Linked DNA regions of Bombyx mori. The protein of the gene in region 1 binds, or shares a complex with, the protein of each later gene. Links are inferred from orthologs where the notes say so. Each region holds a gene or a part of one and is shown on either strand. Other genes may lie near its edges.

What was found.
Region 2: the proteins of cdc42 homolog (region 1) and protein diaphanous are in contact, whole or in part, in a crystal structure (PDB 3EG5), measured with the Mus musculus proteins. The link is inferred for Bombyx mori from reciprocal best matches to the Homo sapiens genes CDC42 and DIAPH1. Residues at the interface, in NP_033991.1 of Mus musculus: Val36, Phe37, Gln61, Glu62, Asp63, Tyr64, Asp65, Arg66, Leu67, Pro69, Leu70, Pro73, Glu95, Lys96, Pro99, Glu100, His103, His104; in NP_031884.1 of Mus musculus: Met90, Asp93, Met94, Asn95, Leu96, Lys100, Pro103, Leu104, Lys107, Ile111, Met115, Gln118, Tyr119, Thr122, Ser133, Tyr139, Ser158, Arg160, Val161, Ser162, Leu163, Pro167, Val168, Val171, Arg210, Lys213, Ala214, Asn217, Asn218.

The regions. Positions count from the first base shown.
Region 1 is NC_085107.1:13,964,444-13,968,597, forward strand, and holds the start of cdc42 homolog, read right to left. Parts: upstream 2,811-4,154; 5' UTR 2,662-2,810; intron 2,457-2,661; exon of another isoform or gene 2,260-2,456; intron 868-2,259; exon of another isoform or gene 798-867; intron 702-797; coding exon of another isoform or gene 324-701; intron 1-323. Other genes in the region: uncharacterized protein LOC134199721, read right to left, coding at 324-701. UniProt on the Homo sapiens protein: Plasma membrane-associated small GTPase which cycles between an active GTP-bound and an inactive GDP-bound state. In active state binds to a variety of effector proteins to regulate cellular responses. Involved in epithelial cell polarization processes.
Region 2 is NC_085129.1:19,600,743-19,604,260, forward strand, and holds part of protein diaphanous, read right to left. Parts: intron 3,323-3,518; coding exon 3,165-3,322; intron 2,645-3,164; coding exon 2,565-2,644; intron 1,330-2,564; coding exon of another isoform or gene 1,235-1,329; exon of another isoform or gene 1-1,234. UniProt on the Homo sapiens protein: Actin nucleation and elongation factor required for the assembly of F-actin structures, such as actin cables and stress fibers. Binds to the barbed end of the actin filament and slows down actin polymerization and depolymerization.

The sequences.
Region 1 (4,154 bases):
TTATAAATATAAATCGGATGGTGGAATATCTGGGGTATACAGTGGCAGAGTAAGACACCCCATTTGAGTGTTTCAAAGTAAGTTTAAATGGATTTGGCAAGGTGAGGCCTAATGATGTCATACAGGGGAATCACTATATCATGTCATATTATGTCCATATTTTGTGCAGCGCTATATCACATTAATTGAGTTTGGTGTCATTCCCTATGGGTCGTTTCAATTTGGTTTCAACTGCTCAAAATAAATACTCCTGACCTGGTCCCACCAAGTACACAGCACAATCGTCACAGTCTGAGTATACAGCCGAACTGTGCAGGCTAATGCTATGAATATAACTCTTCTTTTTGTAACATTTTGACTTTAACTAATAAGGAATCCAGGCTCCTTGCTTTTGAAATACTTTCAATAGATGTGATAACTTGTAAATGACTTTGTGAGCAACTGCTTATGCTGAGGCTAGCGGATTTTGCATCAGCCACTGATTCAATCAGATACAAATTTGAAGACAGCGACTTCGTTGAATTTAGCTTTCCTTTACTTTGACAGTCATCAATATCGAAACCACTGTCTATGAACTGACTGAACCAATCACAGCATATAGTTTCGCTTAAAGCAGCATTGCCATAAACTTTTTGTAGTTCTCGAAGAGCTTCATCCAGCGTATTTTTCAAATGAAAGAAGAAAAGAAACACTTCCCGCATATGATACTTATTTGTTATAAAATCAGACAGTTTCACACAACCAAAAGTATATGTAACAACATAATTTTCAATAAATTTAATGTTTCTTTTATTTACCATCTGTCTAAGCTTGGTTCACAATATATTTGATCTATCAAAATCGACCAGCACTTACTGCTGCAGCCATCTATTGAGAAACAGCGAGAACTTAGTTGCAAGCCTTATACATATATTATTACTACATACCTACATACTCTTTTTATGATTGCGAGCATAAATTCCACTGTAGAAATTGTATTGTAAACAAAATCATGTTACAGACAAACTTGCTTAGTTTATAATTTTCTTTTTAACAGAATTAAAATAAAATATTACTATTAAGCATGTGATGCAATGTTTCTAATAAATACCCACACCCACACATTATTAACTAAGAATGATAAAATAGATTATTCAAAATTAAATTAATAGATCCAGCGATATGAAGGTCGTATACTGTTATTCAAAGTTGAACTAAATGTCAAGTCAACTTCTACATATTTTGTATTAATAAAAATTAATATACACATGGTTTATGATTATGCCAATGATACAGCTTGGAGCTCATACTCCCTGTTATCACCATTCATCCTACAACTACCTAGACATTAACATTATCTGATTTAAAATGTAGCAGTTTCAAATATTATCTTTCAAAATGGGTAAAAATATCTATACATTGTGATTACTATTAATGGTATTATGAACATTTTGATTCAACTAATGATTTCACTGTGTTAAGTTATTTTATGATCCACATTGAGAAATTTCGCTTAGGCAAGTATTACTGTTGTTTTGGTGATAACAGTAAAATAAAATATTTGTCTTACTTTTACTTTATTGAATATAATAGTACGACTGAATATATGTATAGCTAAACAGTAACCTGGTAATATGTTAAGCCTTTAAATATAACTTTAAATATACCTTATAAAGGTTTTAATATAAAAAAATTGAGGAGAATAAATCATGAGAAAATGAAGATGAGTAATGTTGTTTATTCCATGTATTGGGATACACTGGTTCATAGTTTAATATTATGAGAAGTTAAAACTATTTTTAATCATTGTAAAGATACCATTATCCTCCTAAGCTGCATTCTAATATCCAGTCACTCTTAATTCATTATTGCATTAAGAAATCTTTTTAATTGACAACTGAAATAAGCTCCTTGGGTAGAATACAGTCAATTCTACAACTGTTAAGTTGAAATCAACAATTGATTTAAATAATTTACCATTTTTTATTTTAAATCTAGCAGTCCTTGACCTGAATGTTATTACTGACTTTTTCCAAATCTTCAACTAATTCACGAATTGTTATTAGAAGCCCAACAAAAATACAGTTATTTAGGAGGAAAAAAATATATTTAAAAATGTTAATAGTTAAAAACAAAAGCGATCGACACCCATACTAATTAGCTTTAAGTGCATTACACAAACTGCATTCCGACTCGGCGATAATCAGGGTCTCATACGTCGCATAGCAAATGAAATGCCAAGCACACTACAAAATAGGAACACATTCAAAGGGCATTGACCTTTAAAAGGGTCGAATTAAAAGAAAACTGCTTTTAAAGAACATTTCGAGCACAAAACAAAGAACTATTTCCTGAGATAGTATTGTAGCCGAGCGACCGATAACAGCCAACAGGGTGTGTTTGTCGTCCGCAAGACAAGTGCCTCCGAGTTCCTGTTACCTTTCAGTCCCGTGGTACTATTTGAGTATAAGTATTCAATGGCTACGGAGAATGAAATTAAAGCGATAGGTATAGTGTTAAAAAAAACGATAACTTTCTAGAAATATTTGAAGTATTTTTGCTTTTTTTTACATAATCACGTCACAATAATTTTGACGTCCATTTTGTGTTGTGCTCGACAACAACCACTAATATGGTGTTTTTACCTTATTTGTAATCAATTTCATTTCATTACACACTTACCTAATTACGAAGATAATAAATATTTCAAATGAATACAATAACACCACGTTGTAAATAGGAAATGTTGAATGTTACAGTCTCCAAGTAGCGGGTTGGGTCATTGACGGTGTGACGCCATTGATTGAATAGAGCAGTAAATGCCTAGAAATTTGTCTATGGTCCGAATGTCAACAGTCAGAGAATCGATTTTATCGTACCTTTAGTAAAAAAATATTAACAAAATGGAAATAAAATATTTATTTTAAACGAATTGCTGAGTTAATTTCAATATTTGTTTTAAATCTAAAACATATGCTTCTTTAAAACTATTATAATCATATACTACACATAAATGGAAGGCGTACATAATTATTTAAGTAGGTACGTGTTCCATGATCCGAGGCCGTTGATATGATTCAATAAGAATCAGAGTGTACTTAATTAACACTGATATAAGTAAAGTTTTGGAGGGTCAATCATTTGAGCTCTACAAAGTATAGGACAACGAAAATTCTCACCTGTAGTTATCAGAAAGTAGCTATCCTTTAAATACTTACTGAAATAAATGCTTTAGTAATTTGATGTAATCATTGCGTAATTTAAGTAATATCAAATATTTATCTATACTTTAAATTAAATAGACGGGTTAAGTGATGATGACGCTGTGGAAGGAAATTTACGGGAGCTCCAAGTGTCGGACTGGCAAGATGTTGCGCAGCGCCGGGATGAATGGCAAAGTTTATTGTCGGAGGCCGAGACCCACTTCGGGGTCATAGCGCCAGCTCAGTAGTAGTAGTAGTTAAGTGATTAACGAAGCCTCCTTGCCCTAAACACGTAATTACGGATCCTCCCGATACAAACGGTTCTTTTAGGTACCTTAAGCACCAGTCACCGTTCCCACTGAACCCATCGCTTGCAACGCCGTGCTCGGCGAGTAAATTAACCCACAGACACAGACCACTAAGCTCGTCGCTGGATCTTCTCAATGGGTCGTGTTTCCAATTCGGTGGTAGACTCTGCGAAGCACTGCTCTTGCTAGGGACAGTGCTAGCAACTTCCTTATTAGAGCCCCAAGAGCTCACCTACACGCAAGGGTAACGCTAATATAGCTTCTCAAGGCTATAAGTATTGGTACGAAAAAAGTAGCCTACAGACCAACATAAAAATCGGATGTGCAAAAACGAAACTAATTTATTGATATTCACTGTGAAGTTTGATAATGATTGTTGGAGCAAATAAATCCATAACAAAAAATAACATTGAATATTTGTAACAATTAGGTAAATCGTACAATCTATGTCACATACTCATTTAATCATATACCAATTTTCGTTGTGAAATAGTAGTTGGCAATTAGTATTATGCAATAAAATGCTGTTACATCGTTCATAGAATAAATTGCGCACTATAAAATCGACTAAAAAAAATTTGACGTACTTTCTTAATGTCAAGAATCATTTTTGTCACCTCTTTTGAAAATCTGGCAGGCAATAAAAATAAAAGAAGAATACTTG
Region 2 (3,518 bases), on another chromosome or scaffold:
ATAGGCAGGACCTACCCGTGCGGACTCACAAGAGGTCCTACCACCAGTAAACAATGAAAACATTAACAAAAAATGAAGACAACGTTAGGCAATCCAGGCGCCTTAGTAACAGAAATCGACGTGATTACTTCAGTGCGCCGCGTAGGACACCGGTGACCTACACGACAGTCAAAGGGTTAAACAGTAGCTTCGATTAAACGCGATCGATTCACCCAAACGATATAGCGTTAGTTATACTTAACAACATCGAAAGCTCGAACGAAAGCTCTAAAAAATCACTACACCGAATTAGTTAACAACGACCAAGCTTTGCTTCAATTTTAATTTTTTTTTTTTATAACAACCAAAACATTACAGTTGAAAGTTGACAAGAATTTGATTAATACCTTAATTCAGTTATAGATAAAACATTATCCTAATTTCTGTGACCAAACATCTAAGAATTTTCACCTAGCTGAATCGATCAATTAATTTTAGAAAATTATATTTTCAATAATTTAATATTGCATATTTTATTGTCACCTCCATTATTCTTGACGCTTCGATAACGGTCTCAATACACTAGTTGATTTTTTTTGTACTTTCACAGAAAATTGAAGCAAAGTTTTCTCGAACAACTAACTATACAGGGTGTTGCAAAATGAAAATTATATTAAGATTAGAAGAATTTACACTTCGAGGAGTGAAAAGCTATTTAGTTAAGCGACATTTCGCTTAACACGCGACATTTATCTTTATAATTAAAGGTGCGTTTTATTTGGTATCAGCATCAACAGTATGATGTATATAATTGAACTTCAATTATGTTTATTCCATTCAAATAGCTGAAGAAGTTTTTGTGTTTACGATGTTTTTATCAAATTTTAAATTTTAAATGGCTCTACTGTAAAATCGCAAAAATGTCACTTAAACCAAATATATATATTTTTTATTGCTTAGATGGGTGCACGAGCTCACAGCCCACCTGGTCTTAAGCGGTTACTGGAGCCCATAGACATGTACAACGTAAATGCGCCACCCACCTTCAGATATAAGTTCTAAGGTCTCAAGTATAGTTATAGCCTTGCACCCGTCAACTTATACACATATTGGGAATATATTGTTACTGTTAATGACACAGACAACGTTTTGATTGATAAAGCTTATTCTGTTTCTGTGGAATGCCAATAATCTACTTTATATATATATATATAAATATATAATTTTCATTTTTACCACACCCTGTACATGAAAATTAGCTTATAACTTGTCTGTATGTCTCGATTTGCGGTGCGCTGTCCTTGTGTCGGCCGATGAGCCTGCGACCGCAGCTCAACGCTCTGGCCGTCTCTAATACCACAGGGATAAGGTTCAAAATCGTGCGACAATACGATGCGAAGAATCTTGTTAAGAGTGATGATGACTGCAACTAAAAACCTACCTTCGATACGCTGAAGTATAGCACGGACAAGTCCCTCCTCATCCGTGAAATCGTTCAGATCCTCTATGAGTGCGTGAAAGCGACAAACGAATATGAAACTTGTGAACTAGACGTTAAGGCTCTAAATGGAAAGTGCCGTGATAATATTTTAAAACTAATATGCGATGACTGTATTCCGAGTTTAAATCTGTCATAAATACACGCCCCTTCCCCCATCTATTACACGGTGTGTTGTTACCGCGTTATACGATTATTAATGTATAACGCGCTCCTAAGAATATCAAATTGAATATTGAACATTTGCGTCTTATTTAAATCAATATAAGAACAATATAAATACATACAAAATATCCCCCGCGTTGTACGGGGGAAATGCGCATAGTACACGAAGTATATGAAATCGCGTTATAAGATCACCGCGTTATCATGAGAATTTCTGAAAGTCATATATAGACATGAATACATACAAAATATACGGGAAATCCCCGCGTTATACTGGGGAGGCGTGCGTATTACACGAATATATAAAATCGCGTTATAAGATCACCGCGTTATCATAAGAATGTATGATATAGATATATATTTTTATTTATGTCGATTTTATCTACGAATTTAAAAACTGAGGGTTATAACTGTTTTTTTTTCTAAATTAAAATACATAATGGATCATTGCGACAATATTGAATGGGATAAATTTGGATCTTTAATTGACCACGCCAATGTTAATGGAAGTTTATATTATTATCATCGGCACACGACGAGTTGTTCCTACATGACTTATTACGTCATAGTTGATTCACCCAAATAAGTTGAGTTTTTTGTTAACTACCCACATTTGGGATTTTTTTTAAACGTTTCGTAATTATTATTTTTATTGCTTAGATGGGTGAACGAGCTCGCGGCACACCTAGCGTTAAGTGGTTACCGAAGCTCATAAATGTCTACAATGTAAATGCGGCCACCCACCTTGAGATATAAGTTCTAAGGTCTCAGGTATAGTTACAACGGCTGCCCCACCCTTGAAACCGAAACGCGTTACTGCTTCACGGCAGAAACAGGCAGGGTGATGTAACCTACCCGGGCGGACTCACAAGAGGTCCTACCACCAGTAAAGAAGTAAATGTTAGGGTCGATGAGTACTGACCGCCAGCGACGCGGGGGTTGGCCTTCTTCCTAGGCCTCTCTCTGCTGAAGGCGGATCCGCTTTGCAGCGCCTCCATCAGACTGTAAGAGAAGTAATTCATTATTGATTGATTGATTGATGATTGATGAGTATTACTTAGTTTTATAGTGTAAGTTGATGTACATAATAATATGTGTAATAATGAATATTCAATGTTTGGATTGTACTGTTGATTTCATAAATAAATAAAACTATATACTGGTGACGATACTCGTTTGGCGCGTTAACAAAATCCATTGTTCTTGGAATTCAGATAGATACGGATGTCGGAAGCTAGTACGAGTATTACCTTTACTACAAAGATTGATCACTGATGTCCATAGACATCGACAACGGGTTCGATTTTTATTACACGATGTTATTCCTTCTTCGTGGAAGTCAATCGTGAACAATTGTTAAGTACGTATTTCATTAGAAAAATTGGTACCCGCCTGCGGGATTCGAACACCGGTGCATCGCTACATACGAATGCACCGGACGTCTTATCCTTTAGCCCTTCTTCTAGCCCTCAGCCGGAGCGGGGGGGGGGGTGAGTGCAGGGGCGTTGGGGCGGGCGGTTACCTGTCCATGACCCCGTCCTGCGCCTGCTCCATGTCCACGAACTGCTTGTAGCGGTGCTGCCGGTCGCGCCGCTCCTGCTCGGCCGCCGCGCGCGCCTCCCTCGCCCTGCGCGCCCGCGCCTCCCCCTCGCGCGCCAACACGTTCTCCTGGTGCGCGTGCTGTACAACGACAACGAGACATGTTAGTGCTTAAATCATTAGAGGGGCTCGCGGAGCCCATGGACATATACAACGTAAACACAGCCGCTTAGAGACCCAAGTTCCAATTTACAGTACAACGGCTGCTGCAGCCTTTGAATCGAAACGCATTAATGCTTCTCGATATGCAGGATAGTTTTGCCTGTAGTGGTGCTTA